Canis lupus familiaris: one gene and its partners. The protein of the gene in region 1 binds, or shares a complex with, the protein of each later gene. Links are inferred from orthologs where the notes say so. Each region holds a gene or a part of one and is shown on either strand. Other genes may lie near its edges.

What was found.
Region 2: the proteins of NCAPD3 (region 1) and NCAPH2 are in contact, whole or in part, in a cryo-EM structure (PDB 9F5W), measured with the Homo sapiens proteins. The link is inferred for Canis lupus familiaris from reciprocal best matches to the Homo sapiens genes NCAPD3 and NCAPH2. Residues at the interface, in NP_056076.1 of Homo sapiens: Arg589, Pro591, Met629, Glu680, Arg683, Tyr684, His690, Lys724, Glu793, Asp800, Gln803, Arg804, Arg807, Gln817, Leu820, Gln865, Leu866, Cys867, Pro868, Ala869, Arg870, Val871, Val918, Ile925, Lys929, Leu932, Gln933, His934, Ala956, Asn960; in NP_689512.2 of Homo sapiens: Trp22, Ser68, Lys69, Glu72, Tyr75, Tyr79, Leu82, Asp83, Ser86, Ile144, Ile145, Pro146, Leu147, Leu148, Met150, Ala151, Leu152, Val153, Asp156, Glu159, Asn161, Asn162, Asn163, Pro164, Leu165, Tyr166, Ser167, Arg168, Gly170, Leu173.
Region 3: the proteins of NCAPD3 (region 1) and NCAPG2 are in contact, whole or in part, in a cryo-EM structure (PDB 9F5W), measured with the Homo sapiens proteins. The link is inferred for Canis lupus familiaris from reciprocal best matches to the Homo sapiens genes NCAPD3 and NCAPG2. Residues at the interface, in NP_056076.1 of Homo sapiens: Glu1213, Lys1216, Ile1217, Pro1218, Leu1220, Gln1247, Ser1250, Glu1251, Tyr1254, Lys1258; in NP_001268861.1 of Homo sapiens: Phe291, Lys332, Pro333, Ile334, Trp336, Lys340, Ala341, Arg342, Arg347.

What each region holds. Positions count from the first base shown.
Region 1 is NC_049226.1:1,096,333-1,101,334, forward strand, and holds part of NCAPD3 (condensin-2 complex subunit D3), read left to right. Parts: intron 1-638; coding exon 639-776; intron 777-1,085; coding exon 1,086-1,219; intron 1,220-1,463; coding exon 1,464-1,660; intron 1,661-3,830; coding exon 3,831-3,941; intron 3,942-5,002.
Region 2 is NC_049231.1:17,697,445-17,702,446, reverse strand, and holds part of NCAPH2 (condensin-2 complex subunit H2), read left to right. Parts: intron 1-1,394; coding exon 1,395-1,450; intron 1,451-1,558; coding exon 1,559-1,643; intron 1,644-1,720; coding exon 1,721-1,789; intron 1,790-1,913; coding exon 1,914-1,993; intron 1,994-2,083; coding exon 2,084-2,217; intron 2,218-2,490; coding exon 2,491-2,571; intron 2,572-2,957; coding exon 2,958-3,079; intron 3,080-3,949; coding exon 3,950-4,009; intron 4,010-4,327; coding exon 4,328-4,394; intron 4,395-4,595; coding exon 4,596-4,703; intron 4,704-4,797; coding exon 4,798-4,851; intron 4,852-5,002. UniProt on the Homo sapiens protein: Regulatory subunit of the condensin-2 complex, a complex that seems to provide chromosomes with an additional level of organization and rigidity and in establishing mitotic chromosome architecture.
Region 3 is NC_049237.1:21,443,596-21,448,597, reverse strand, and holds part of NCAPG2 (condensin-2 complex subunit G2), read left to right. Parts: intron 1-1,878; exon of another isoform or gene 1,879-1,919; coding exon of another isoform or gene 1,920-1,949; intron 1,950-3,156; coding exon 3,157-3,345; intron 3,346-3,691; coding exon 3,692-3,806; intron 3,807-5,002. UniProt on the Homo sapiens protein: Regulatory subunit of the condensin-2 complex, a complex which establishes mitotic chromosome architecture and is involved in physical rigidity of the chromatid axis.

The DNA.
Region 1 (5,002 bases):
CATCTGTGTCTCACTGGGTAGCCTGGTATGTGCATGCTGGATGCCTCTTCCAGATTTGGGGGCACAGGAGAAAGGAGAGTACTGGAGGCTTGCTGGGGAGTCCAAAGCTCAGTGAGAGTGCTTCGCTGTCTGTGCTGACCCAAACTGTGAGGCTCTCATAGTTAATCCCAATTCTGGAAAAAGTCCCAATGACTAAAACTGCTTTTTGTTCATTATTGTGGGTAGCAAACCTCAAGTTGAGGGAGAAAGCCAGGTGCTCATTTTCAGGTGGTGGTTTGTTGCATCAGCCATGAGAACCGCAGAATTCTACTTGAAAAGCAGTTTGGGGTGGGTTGGTGGTTTTCCCATATTTAAAGTGTACCTGAGTAGTGCACCTGGTTAGAATTTTGAAAGGAACACTAGTAGAAAAGGCCTTTATGCTGACCTTGGATTCAAAAAGGAGGCTGTTGAGCAAGGACAGATGGAAGAAGCGAAGTTTTCTCTTCTGATCTGAATGAAGCTGTGTATTGGGATAGATTTCCTCTCCCTGTCACTTGTTTGCAGTTTCCCGCCACACCTCCATGTTCTTGGTGTAATTTTTAGAGGCTGTGTGCAAAGAGCAAACAGGTCTCTTTTTTCTCTCTCCCCCTTCCCTGCAGTTTTGGGGAGTTTTGCCTGGCTCACCTGTTGCTGAAGAGGAACCCTGTCATGTTCTTCCAGCACTTCATTGAGTGTATCTTCCACTTCAATAACTACGAGAAGCATGAGAAGTATAACAAGTTCCCCCAGTCGGAGAGGTCAGTGGAGCTCTCGGGAAGGGCAGGGCGAGTGGTGGGAGATGGGCAGCTGCTTTGTACGAGTCTCGAGGCACAGACCCCGGCCCTGGCGCTCCTTGTGGCAGGCCTGCCTTCTCTGGACAGGGTGATGCGAGACCATTCATTCGTCCAGTGGCGTCCCAAGGAAGTGCCTCTGAGAAGCATAGTCATCTCAATCATGTACCTCCACCGTGGGTAGACAGTTTTTAGGATGCTGGAAACTGCTGCTGAAATGAACATCCTTGCACCCTTGCCCACATCATGTGGTAAAATTGTCCTGTTTTGTCCTAGAGAGAAGCAGCTGTTTTCACTGAAGGGAAAGACAAACAAGCAGAAACGAATGAAAATCTACAAATTTCTTCTGGAGCACTTCACAGATGAACAGCGATTCAATATCACTTCCAAAATCTGTCTTAGCATTTTGGGTAGGCCTGGTGTGTTTGGGATAAAATGTATATTTAAAAATGAAATGCCCTGTGGCTGGCTAATGGCTCAGTAGATCTCTAGCAAATGAGCCCCTGATACTGTGGGAAGACTCTGGTTTTTTCCCTTCTTTGACATCAGCTATGCCCACTTGAAGCCAAGATGAGCCCTCCTCTCTCTGTGGGCTACCCTTTCCCACCCTGGGGCTGACTTTCTCAGAAGCTGACCTTTTGTGCTCTTTCTCAGCATCCTTTGCCGACGGCATCCTGCCCCTAGACATGGAAGCCAGTGAATTGCTCTCAGATACATTTGAGGTCCTCAGCTCTAAGGAAATCAAGCTTTTGGCCATGAGATCTAAAGCAGATAAGGACCTTCTGGAAGAAGATGACATGGCCTTGGCCAGTGCAGTCATGCAGGAAGCTCAGAAGAGGCTCATCTCACAAGTGAGTGTCCTTCTGTAAACGGGCCTGGTTACACCCCCGTGCTCCTCTGCCCCTCCCCTGAGTACTGGTGGTCTGCCTCAGATCCACATTTAATTCTTACCCGTGGCCTTAACACTCAGCCCAATGATGACGATTCTCCCTCTGTGTGTAGCTCCACCTTCTCCTGTGGCCTGAACCCATCCCACTTGTCTGCTTGGATGTGCCACAGGCCTCTCAGACTCCCTCTGCCAAAACTGAGTTACTCCTCCCTTCTTCTTCCTCTCCGTCTCTTCTCCTGAAGTCTCTATCATGGAGAAGGAAACCATTATCTACCAAGTTGTCCCCAAGAGGACCCAGTACTACCCCAGTCTGAAGTCTGGCATGACAGACCCCTGCTTCGTTTGGCCAGAGTGGGAAAATTGGGATCAGACTCAGAGTGGTGCCTGACTGCCGTAGTCCTCACCAGGCCCAGGTCTTACACCAGCCTGGATCACTAGGCTGTATTTCCCACCTGAGTCCTGAAAGCTTCAGACCCTAAAGAAATAGACTTGGGTCACCGTCCAGGATGTCACCAGATCCTGTCCATTTTATCTTGCGAATGCACCATTCTGTGCTCTCCCATTCTGAGTAGCTCTGCACTTGTTTAGCTGGTGTCATTTCTGGCGGTTTCCTCACTCTGCACCCTTTGTGTCTCTAGTTTCTTTCTTTTCCAGGCTGTGCACCACCTTGCTGCCACAGCAGTCTCTTACGGACAGATTTGATCATTTTATTCTCCCACTTAAAAGAGACTAGAGGCAGATAGGCTGCAGAGGGCAGCAGGGAACTTCCAGGGAGACTGGGGTGATTAAGCAGACTGTGGTTTGGGTTACTCTATACCGTTGTCAGACTCGTTAAACTAGTCACTTAACATGGGTACATTTTATGGCATATAAGTTATGCCTCACTAATGCTACCTTTAGTCTGTAGTTTGGTAGCTTCCTATCATCTTCCAAATAAAATCCTTCTCCCAGGCACATGGAGCCCTGGGATGTCTGTCCTGCCCCTGCACCCCTCATCTCCATGCTCCCCTCCCTGATCTCTCCATTCCAGGTCACTGTGGGTTCCTTGAGTGCACTCCTACTGTTGTGTCTTTGCACACTGTCTGCCTGCCTGCAGGGCCTCTCCTACCCTGTCCTTTCCTGCTGCCAAATTCCTACATCTTTTCAAAAGATGGGCCTACCTCCCTAGGCATCCCTTTTCTGTAAGTTCCTCACCTTTGTGCCACTTATCACACCATGCCACCCATCGTAGCACACAATCTGGTCTAGAAGTCGCTTGAAGGCAAGAATTTCTGGCTTCATTTTTACATACCCAGAGGCTAGCTTTGTGTCTGGTTCAGAGAAGGCGTTTGATAGTATTGATTGAGTTGAATGCATTTAAGCCACTTTTTAAAACTATCTTTAAACTTACCATCTGTTCAAACTCATATTTATTAAAGTGTTTATTTCTCTACTGATTGACCTTTTATTTTAGGAACTCTGATAAGACTTTTTAGAAATGGTGATTTACAAGCAAGGGACGCATACTAGTGACTTTAAACGAGAAGAAAAAATACTTTTCAGATTAAGAAGGATAAATCTTACTACATATATGGGCTGCTATAATGATTCTTTTTAATTCTAAAAGATTTATTAGAAAATATCTCTGGGCAATGATTATTTGTGATTAAGAATATGAAGGCTTGGTCAAATCAGGTACTATGTAACTACATAACACTTTTCTAAATGTGTGTGGAGTTATACACACAAAAAGAAATACAACACCAACTCTCCGTGCTTAGCCATTCTCAACCATTTGTTACTTCCAGCAGGAATACAAAATGTCCCTTTTGGGTAGCCAGAAGTAGACTCATTTTCATTCCAAAGGGAGGATGCTGAGTGGAGGAATTGAGCGGATCCAAGATGGGTTTGTGTGGAGGTTTGGAGATTGTTAAATTATTCAGCATATTTCTAATTCCTGTTTCATGTTTAAAAAGTAAGAATAGCATCCATCCCCATCCTACTTCACGCAACCTTCTGAGTGTTATCAAGCTCCCAGGACCAAGGTGTCGGCTCCTAGGTAGTTCCGCCGTGCAGGAGGAGCCAGGTCAGGGAGAAGCCTCGGTCTCAGAACCTTGTCCATCTAAAGCACGCCTTTGTTTGTATTATTACAGGTTCAGAAGAAGAATTTCATAGAAAATATTATTCCAATTATCATCTCCCTGAAGACTGTGGTAGAGAAAAATAAGATCCCAGCTTTGCGGGAACTCATGACCTATCTCAGGGTAAAGATGACCTTGTGCTTTGTGGTCAGTGTCTCTCGCCTCCAGCTCATTACTCAGGATCTGTCACAGTTCCAACGATGGAGCAGTTGGCTGGTGATCACAGGAACTCAAAATGCTATAAAACCAGCTTTACATTTTTTTAAGTTAGACCAGCCAGACAGGTCTTTGTCGGGGAGAAGAGAGCGTTTAACCGTAGGTTCCTCAGAAGTTGGTTCTTGGCTTTCCATGCCGTTGAGTTTATGCAGGGCTAACTCACTGTGCTGAGCATGTGTGTCCTTGATGCCAGTTTTGAGATTCAGTTTCGAAGCCTTTCTCAACTGGGGTAAAGTACAAAAGAATCATCTTAGTTCATTCTGGTGAGGGATAAAGTGAAATCGGGCATTATGTTCAATTTGGGGATGTTAACCTTTAACACTGCCTCCACATCAGAAAATAGTGCGTCTTGGGGTGCACCGATGGGGCCTGGGCCGCCATCACTGGTGGGATCCGGGGCCATGAACAGTCCTGGTCGAAGCACCCAGGATATGTAGACTTGTCTTGCAGACATAAATGAGACTCCTGACCTTTCTGGCAAAATTTTTCAATCAGCAATAAAGGGAATGTTTTTTCCTTTCTGTTCACACTATGCTATTTTCTTTCTCAAGAAATGCTAAACACATTTTTTCAGTAAGGGCTACAACCAAATTACATTGGATATAAATTCTTCAAATAGCTCTTTTAACTAAAGGAAGTTAAGGTAGGAAAGATAGGCTCATTGTGTGGAAAAAAATGAGAACTTCCAGTTATTCTTATGTTTTTATTGCCCAGAGTGTTTTAGAGCTCTGAGAGGAAAAAAATAATTTAGATCCTCAATAAACTAAAGGCTTACGAACGGTAAGTCCATCCCGTTTCTGAGCATCCGTCTGGAGGATGGCCAGCAGCTGCCGTGTTGGAGCAGCACAGCCCTCATTCCCTGGCAGCCCTCCGTGACAGCGGCTGCGCCTGTCCTCCCCAGGCCTGTGCAGCCCTCTCTTCGCAGTGGCTGGAGGGTTCATGGATTTCCTTCCCTTTGTTGGGACTCC
Region 2 (5,002 bases), on another chromosome or scaffold:
GGTGGACCCAGAGTTCCTGCCTAGTGCCCAAGTATTCATAACGGAGAATAGAAGTCAGTGGCTGAGAATCAGCAGACTTGGTGGAAGTTCAGAATACTCCTGAGGGGAACCAGACTGGCTGACAGCCTGGGCAGCGTGATGGACGCTACACGTATCCTGTGGTTTGTGAGGGCGCCATGGGGCACACTTACGTGACTTCCCCCAGCGTGCTGAGCCGTCCCTCCTGCAGGGGCAAGGAGAAGTGCGTGACAGCACTGGTCCAGAACTGGCGGTTTAGTGGCTGGGAGAAAGGTGCACGAGGTGAGTGTTTAGAAGTATGTGATGGGTCCCAGCTAGGGAGGGGCGAGCGACCTGCATTCAGGCCTGACCAGCACAGGACACAGTAGCTTTACTGGGGGCACCAGAAGTTATTAAGATAGTTTGAGATCTCATTGGCTTTTGTCCTAGATAATCCCATTAAGTCAGATTCCTATGTCCTGCATGTGTCCTGAGAAGGAACGTCTGCACAGACGTGCAGTGACAGATGTGCGTGTTGTAAAGCAAGTGCAGTGACATGTTAATAATAAAGTCTGGAAGGTGTGGGGGGTCAGCACCACCCAGGAGGACTTCCTGAAACAATGCAGACGGCCTGTGACCTGGGCTGTCAAAGATGGTAAGTACTAGCAACGCCTCTCTGCTCATTCTCTATGAAGCGGGAACAGCGGTGGTACGTAGTTCAGGTAGACTGGATGGGGTGAAGCCCGAGTCCTGAGACGTGCTGGACACTTACCAAAGTCACTATAAATTAATCCAAATAAATGGGGCCCATGTTCGAAGGACCACCATCCGCATGGTCACCATCGTGTCCAGTGTCTAGTGCAGAGCTCTGTGCATAAAAGAAGGATTTCATGCAAACTTATGGCATGAAAAAAAAGAAGCAGGGCCAAGAAGAGTTGCTTGTGTCCTTGGGCACGGTTACCCCAGAGGGAACGGCCTGGAGGGGGCACAGGTGCACAGCCTCCTGGCCAGCATCTCGGAAGTCCTGACCCTCACCGTGGGGGTGGGGTCCCACGGGTTGTGGCTGGGGCTTCTGGAGATGGGGCAGTGGTGGCCCAAACCTGCAGGAGGAAAGGGGGCAGCTGTGGGTGCTGGGCGGGAGCAGCATGGACCTGGGCCAGCGGACCGCATGCGGGCTGGTGTGTAGGGTGTGAAGGCAGCCACTCGTGTGGCGTGCGGGGCCAGAGGAAGGGGAGAGGACCACACTGATGAGACATGTCAGGTGGACGTTGGCAGAACTCTGCTGGGAGTTTTGGAGAGGACGGTGGGCTTCTGTGTGTGTCCGCCTTTGGGGAGGGCCAGGTTGCATTGAGGTCGGCTTTCCTTCCCGCTCCTCACTGTCCGCTTCTCGTCACCAGGTGGAGTACCTCTACTCGCTGGTCTACCAGGCTCTGGATTTCATCTCCGGCAAGAAGTGAGTACTGGTGGTGAGCCAGGAGGCGGATGCCCATGTGTCTGCCCTGCGTGCAGCGTGGGAGGCCCCTGCAGCCTCCCAGACACCCATGCACTGGTTCTCTCTCAGGCGGGCCAAGCAGCTCTCCTCGGTGCGGGAACACGGGGCCGATGGGGACACCAGCTCCATGGCTCCCCAGGAGGGAGAGGACCAGGTGAGATTCTTGGGTGTGTGGCCGCTGCCCGCTGTGCACTTGCCTGGCGCTGCTCCTGAGCTCTTGTCCCCGCATAGTTCCTGTCACTGGATGACCTCCCTGACGCCCGCACTAACGTGGATCTGAGGAGTGACCTGGCCCCCCGTGTGAGTGCCCCTCCTTCTGTAGGGGCTGCACTTAGCTGACAGGGGTTGGAGGGATCATCCCATATGGGTTCCCCACCTGGAGCCCACGGGACCTGTGGCTCACCCACTGTTGGCCTCCATGCAGGAGATCCTCATCATCCCTCTCCTGCCCATGGCCCTTGTGGCGCCTGATGAGGTGGAGAAGAATGTCAGCCCCCTGTACAGGTATCGGCCTGAGCCTGGCTGAGGGGACTCAGATAAGGGGAGAGGCTGCTGGGCAAGGGTCTCTGCAGTGGATGTGTTTTGCCAGCACAGCTGTCAGGGGGAAGTCCTGGCCAGCCGGAAGGATTTCCGGATGAATACCTGCACCGCTCACCCCAGAGGAGCCTTCATGTTGGAGCTGGTGGGCATACCCCCCACGGAGACGCTGCTGCCGAGGAACCAGGAGGGTGAGGGCTTGGGTGTGGCGGGCTTGGGAAGGAGGGGTCCCCTGTGCCTGCCGGCTCTGGTCCCACCTCCCTCCCCGGGCACCTGCTGTGAGGATGTGTCTGAAGGTGCACATCCTCTTTGCCCCCTTTGCCTGTAGCTGGTTCAACCCAGGGTGCCTGGGTCCTGGGCCAGGTCTCTGTTCTCCCCGCTGAGCCCTGGCTCTGCTGGGCCCCTGGGAGGGGTCTCCTGGGGGAGGGGTTGGGCTGACCCTGCCCAATCCCCCTCTTTGCCAGAAGCTAAGAGGGCTGAGGAGCAGCCAATGGAAGTCTCTGCGTGCTGCCCAATCCCCGTGCTCAGCATCTCCCCGGAGCCAGGTGAGAAGGGAGCGTGGTGCTGCATTTGCAGGGTGTGGGTAGGGGTGCGCTGTGCTCAGCCACCCCAGGGGTGAGGTGTGGGGAGCAGCCGTGGCTCACTGTGCTGTCTTGGTCTCGTGACTGCCCTGTGACCATTCTTGGGCCTGTGAGGTTTGGGCCTACTGTTTCTCCCCTGGTAAGCACGGATGGGAGCGTTTCAGGAGGAAAATTGATAAAGGAAAATGAGCCAAACAGAACAGAGCGGTGTGACGAGAAGAGTGTGGAGTGCCCTGCTGCAGTCCCTGGGTCAGCTGAAGGAAGCCGAGTGAGGAGTGGCCTTGCAGGTTCTCCTGGGCGTTGGCAAGGCAGCCTCCCACCTGCTGTCTGCTCTCTACTCACCTGCTCAGGTACCTCGCCAGAGGATCCGCTGCCTGCAGGTGGTGGTGAGGATGAGGATGAAGAGGGGGCAGCAGAGCTCCCTGAGGCCATGGCCCCCGAGGTCCCCCAGGAGCCCCGGAGCCCACAGCAGGTAGGACCCCTACTGAGGCCTGCAGAGCTCAAGCCGTCAGCCAGGCAAGCGTCCCCACGCTCACGTGGGCCATGCAGTCCTGTCTGGGCACCCTCCAGACAGCCTTAGACCTGGCCTCACCCCCAGCTCTTTGGGGTGTTCCCCGCACGCCTTTCCTCTCTCTGAGCAGGACAGCTGCTGCTCCTCAGCAAGGAGCTGGGGTTCAAGGGCCTGTGCCCTATGCTGTTGTGGCTGGCACCTAGGATGGTGGCTGGTTTCCAAAGCTGACTCTTCTGGGGTCGGGCTGGCAGGAGGGGCCAGGCTTGAAGGCTTTTGCTGCTTCCCACCACCCTCATGGGTCACCTTTGTGTTTTGGCCTGGAGCTAAAAAATCTATTTTTATTTATTTTTAAAGATTTTATTTGTTTATTCATGACAGTGGGAGAGAAGCAGGCTCCATACAGGGAGCCTGACATGGGACTCGATCCCGGGTCTCTAGGATCACACTTCGGGCCAAAGGCGGCACCAAACCACTGGGCCACCGGGGCTGCCCTAAAAAAATCTGTTAGAAGAAAAACTCTGATGCATATAAGAAAGAGGTTAACGTTTGTTAATTTTGATCGATAGATGCGTGACATTTAAGATTTTTTTGTATATTTTAAAGAAAAAGGTACCTCACAACCATTTATTTATTTATTTGTATTTTCTTCTAAAATTTTTTCTTGAGTTTTTGTGGACCCTAAGAGGGTCCCTGCAGGGTTCTTGACGTCTGATGCCAGAGCACAGCTGCTGGTTGCCCAAGCCTTGGGTGCCAGGCTCTTCCTCCAGAGGAAGGGGAGGAGAGGGAGGAGGAGGGGGAGGAGAGGGACCCCCTGGAGCTGTTTCTTTGCAGAGTGCTGCCCAGCCCAGTGGGTGGGTGCTGCGGGAGCGACGGGAGCCAGCATCCCTGAAGGTGAGGGGCATGGGGGCTCAGACCAGGGAGGGTGTTCTTTGAAGCTCCACTGTCCCCCCCCCTCCCCCCAAACTCCTCCAGCTTTTAGAACCTGAGCTCCTAGCCTGAGGCCCTTTCTGTGGACTCTTTCTCAAGGAATCTTCCTTTCTCCAGAAATTAAGTCTGCTCTTCTGCCACTCTGGGGCTCCTCCCTCCCTGCTGTGTCACCATTAGGTCCTGAATGTGGCTGGCTCTTTGTGCTCAGTGTCTGGGCTCTGGGGGGGAGGGTGCACATCCTTAGCTCCCCACCCCCCACGTCTGCTTGTGCTCTGTGCTCAGGAGACTCCAGACCCCTGGCAGAGCCTGGATCCCTTTGACTCCCTGGACTCTAAGCCCTTCAAGAAAGGTAATTGGGTGGGTGCAAGGGGACACCTCTCTGGCATCTGTGGATGTATTCTCTGGAGCACTAGCATTTGATGAGGGTGGGCTTGTACCCATTGGGAGCCGGGTGGGAACTGTGCTTGTGCAGCTGTTCCTGGGGCCTGTGGGTGCCATAACCTACCCCAGGGCCCAAAGTTGTGCCCCAGACATAGTCGTTTGCCCCCAGGTAGGCCTTACTCCGTGCCCCCCCGTGTGGAGGAGGTTCCAGGACAGAAACGCAAGAGGAAGGGTGCCACCAAGCTGCAGGACTTTCACCAGTGGTACCTGGCTGCCTGTGAGTGGTGGGCTGGGGCTGGGCCAGGGTGGGAGGGTCCGGGGACAGCCTACAGGGACTCGGCCTCATTCCTGCCAACCAAATTCTCTTGAAGACGCTGACCATGCCGACAGCAGGAGGCCCCGGCGGAAGGGCCCGTCTTTTGCAGGTGAGGTCAGGGTTGTGTGCACTCTCCCGAGAGGTAAAGTGCTGTGGCATCATCTGTCTGGTTCCCCTGGGCCTGGGGGTGCCCAAGGCTCTAGGGAGACTGGGGTGGGGGCCCGGGCAGGACACGGGAGCACCTCTCACAAGGCCGTTGT
Region 3 (5,002 bases), on another chromosome or scaffold:
GTCCTCAGGTTATTTACAGTGTTGTGGTGGATCCAGGTGTGTAAGTATAGCAGAGTAACAAGGCTAAGCTGGGGCAAGGATATGGGAGGGGGCCCACATTCAGCCACGGACTGCTTCCTGTCCCAGTGGAAAGGGTATGGAAGCTGTGATTAAAGAGTAAACAAGTCAGCCAGTCAAAGAGGGATGTGGGGAAGGACCTCTCCAAGTAGAGGAGATAACTTTAAAGACCAGAGAAGATACACTGTGTTTGAACTTGAAGATATTTGGTAGGGCTAGGGCAAGAAATGCCAGGTCAGGCAGGAAGAGGCAGGGGCTGAGATTTGGATTATGACAGCCCTTCTTTACCATGTTATCCTGAGAGGAATGGGGGCTTGTATACACATAGGTGGAGAGTAGTGAAGAGGCTGTGCCCTGCACAATGGTGGTTGCATTAGGAGATATGGGTGCCTTTGCAAGCTGTCAGGTTGCAAGGTGGTGGTGCTCTTGACTGGATGTAGGCCACGGTGGATTCCAGGTTCTGACTTGTGGTGCCTTTCAGTAGGAAGAAGGCAGGTTTTAGAGGGACGATAGGCTCCATTTGGGACATTTGGATGACTGCCAGGGGGATGTGCACACGATGACCAGTAGGTGGATCAGTAGCTGTACCTAAAGCCCAAGAAAGAGGCCTGCATAGAGACAGATTTGGGTGTCCTCAGTGACACTTGGAAGCTTCAGTCATGGGAATGCAATGGGACCATCTGTAGTGTAAGAAGAGAAGCCTAGGACAGAACCTTGAGGAACCCCAACAGTTAAGGTATCAATTCTAAAACACTTGTGACTTTGGGTCAGAAGATGCATGTCATTTGTTTTGCTCATGCAGTGAAAATTAAGTTAGTAGTAATTAAAAAAAAAAAAGTAGTAATTAAGTAGAGAGAAACCTAATAGAAAATTTATTGCTAGCAACATTTATGAAGTTTTTTTTTTCTTCTTTTTTAAGAGATTTTATTTATTTATTCATGGGAGACACAAAGAGAGGCAGAGAGAGAAGCAGGCTCCCTGCGGGGAGCCCGACGCAGGACTCTATCCCAGGATCCTGGGGTCACAACCTGAGCCAAAGGCAGACGCTCAACCACTGAGCCATCCAGGCATCCTGGAATTATTTTTAAGAGGGAAATGAATTATGATATGATTTCATATTGTAAAATAGTACCCTGTAAACAAAAATAGTCAGTACAGACTCACAGGCAGCACATCTCAGAAGTGTCTGTTGAGAGCACACTATTTAGATGTTATATAAACACTTGTTTTAGTAGGAGTGTAGATGATATGTCTTCTGTTATGTGTGCAATACACGTGTGGTTTAAAGTTTACAAGATTATTGTTGCAAACTTTTGTCATAGTATTAACTACTATCACAAACTAAATTGATGATGATGAGGCTAGTTAATATTAATTTAAAATCAAAAGGCCAAAATAGCAACATCTGGGTAGCACAGTCCCTACAGGATCAGGCTGATGTAGTGACAGGGCGCCCTTTGAGATCCTTGTCCGCAGCTACCCCTGGTCACATGCCCTAGTGCCTTGGACTGTTGCTCAGCAGCACATATCTCAGGAGGATGCTGAGTTAGTCATTGTATTCATAGTCATTCCTTTTAGCTTATGAGTAGCAAGCCTTATTAACACTTAATTATTTAGTATCTTAATCACCGTGTAGCTATTAGTTAAACACGAAAATGAGAAGATGTAGGATTATGCATCACTTGTTTTCTTCGAGTTGAATGATATGAAATGCCATTCTGTAGGTCAGAATAGTTGAGTGTAGGCAGCTGTTTGGTGGCATATCCTTCAGTTTGCACTTCTTTGATGATTTGGTTAAATTCATTTTATGCGTTTTGACAGGAGCTGCATAAGTGGTGTTTTGTCTTCCTCAGTGGAGGCACATGATGTCCGTTTGTCCTGTTATTGCTGAGGTTAGTTTTAATCAGTCACTTAGGTTGGGGCTATACCAGATTTCTCCACTGTCAAGCTGCTGTTTCCACCTTCGTAATTAATAAGTGATCTTAATTGGGGAAGTAAGTTGAGATTAGGTAAATACCCTGCTCTTCATCAGACTTGTACCTTCTGGTTTTAGTGTCAATTGATGATTCTTGCCTGAAACATTTATTACTATAATGGCTATTATAGTATATAGTATAGAAAATTGTGATTTTCTAACCCCATATTCCTTCCATATTTATTCATTGGTGATCTATAGCATGCTGATGCTGTTTGTTATTTATTTATTTATTATCAGTTTCGTTTCACTGGTTCTTACTTTATTGATTGGGTTATAATCCATTACGGTCACTTGATTGGTGCTCACATTGGCTGCACACAGTCCCTTTAAGATGAATGCTCTACCCCTTTGGTAATGGTTTCTATTTGCTGTATCAGAGAGTAAGCTCATCAGCTCAGAGTGAGAAGAAATGGTTGGCTCGGGGGTTTTAGGGATAGTTGAGAGGATCCGATATAATCTCATTGGTTAAAAGAAGAGAATGATGTCTAGAGATGAGTAAGAGGGGGTGTTGAGGGTCCAAGTTGGGTTAGAGATCAGCAACTTCAAGTATACTCAGTTGGCTTGGCTGTGTTGTTGTTCTTGTACAGCTCCAACATACTTTGTGCCCTGATGATAGGCCTGGAGTGGTGGACATCTGGATGGATTGATTTTAGAGAGGATATTTCTAAGTGGGTAAAATTTTTAAACTCCAAAGACTAGGTTACTAGGGCTGAATATATAGATGAGAAACCTGCTACTTTCTTATTTTACTTTTTGAATTTACTTATTACACAGAGTGAGAGTGTGTACACACAAGTGAAGAGAGGGACAGAGGGAGAGAGAGAAGCAGACTCTACGGGGCTCCATCCCAGAACCCTGGGATCACGCCCTGAACCAAAGGCAGATGCTTCACTTACTGAGCCACCCAGGTGCCCTGGCATCTGCTACTTTCTGTCTCATAATTCCTGTACTTTTCCACTTAGGAAAAGTATTTCAAAACTACAGCTCAACTCTTGAAATGGTCATTAGCTTAGCACTTAATGAATGCACTTAATTTAGCAAAACTTCCTTTTGATGCCATTATAAAGGGGATAGAACTAATTTTTGTAATTGAAATATAACAATTGCTATTTATTTTGCAGAAAGATGCTTCTGACCCTTTCAGCCTAAATGAATTACTAGATGAATTATCAAGGAAACAGAAAGAAGAGCTATGGCAAAGGCTCAAGAATTTATTAACGGGTGTATTGTTAGAAAGCCCTGTGGCTGAGTGGCAGACGTTGGAAGTCCAGGGTGAAGACATTATGGAAACAGAGCATGAATCAAAAATGGTAGTAGTAATTTTTCAAATAGAAAACCTGTTACCTTTAATTTGTTAAAAAAAAATATTGTATGTAATTGAATTTTAAGTGATGAAAAAAAGCTAGAATTTAAGAAAGAATATTAGGAGTATGTTTATTATAGTTTTACTTTAAACAATTCTGCCCATTATTAATCTGCTATTCAATGTTGCTGTTCTCTTTGGACAACTGACCTGTATTCAAATTTAATTTACTTTTTAGAATAAGCTAGAAGTGTGGGTTAATTTTTATAAAGTTAGTAACATTCACGTTTCTTTTTAAAATTCTATTTTAAGTTGATTTTAAGTCACTTGAATTTGAATTTTTTCATTTGTAGAAAAACAGCATAGAAATAATTCATGCAATTACATGTGTGGTTCTTGCTTCTGTATCTGTAATAAATGAAAGTGAGAACTATGAAGACTTACTGGAATGTGCAGTGATGTTGAATGGTGAGTTGCATTTGTGATATCATGGCATGTTTAGAGGTGGGCATCTACTGGTTCTCTATGGAAGGAGCCAGTCTTCATGTAGAAGCAGAAGTATTAAGGTGTAACTTTGCTTTTAAGCTCTTTTACTTCAGCTAGAAAAGGAGCAAAGAAGTATTCTTTTTTTTTTTTTTTAAGTTTTTTTTTTTTTTTTTTTTTTTTATTCATAAGTGACAGAGAGGGGCAGAGACACAGGCAGAGGGAGAAGAAGGCTCCCTGTGGGGAGCCTGATGTGGGACTCAATCCAAAGACCCCGGGGTCACACCCTGAGCTGAAGGCAGATGCTCAACCCTTGAGCCACCCAGGTGTCCCAAGAAGTATTATTTTAAGGGCTATCCTGATGCACTGATTTAGAATGTAAATTACTGAACAACTGACTGCTGTTCTCAGATTTTCCAGTACGTCTTATTTGACCTATGGGACCAGTGGTAAGAGCTTATTAAGGAAAAATGGTCAGATTATAAATTCCTCAGTTGGTGATTACTGCCAGAAAGTTTCAGTTTAACCAAGCATTTGTGACGCTGCATCATTTTTTAAATATGTTATGAAAGTGACCTGAGAAATAGGTGTTGACAATTAGGGGAACTTTACTATTAAAATTTGTATCATGGTGCTTTTCAGATTTTAATTAAACTGTAAAACTGTAGTTTCTAATTTAGGAGGAGCACTAAGAATTAATGAGAATATCTAATTATAAAATACATAAAACTATTTTACAGATATAAAAGATGCAAAAATGATTTTAAGTAATGAGAAGAAAAATCACCTAAGTGTCCTCACTTTCACATTGTAATTAATTCTGTATGACACGCTTTCCCATCAGACTTTGCATTCTTAGTGCTAACACTTAGATGTATGTAGATGTTTTATTCAGAATTCTTGCATTGAAATACAATGTCTGATTAAGATGTTAGCCCTAATCAGTATATAAATAGTTCCCAGTGTTTTGTGAATGTAACCATAGTTTATTTTCAGTCTCCAAATAACTTTTATAAATGATTAGTGCTGATATTGTAGTTGTTTCTAACTTCCCATTAATTCAGGAATTTAACGTGTATGTAATGGCATTCAGATATCTATGGATTATAATTATGAACATATTATTAGTATTTTCATTTCATTCTTGAGCTTTTCAATTAATAAAAGCACTGCAGTTTTTG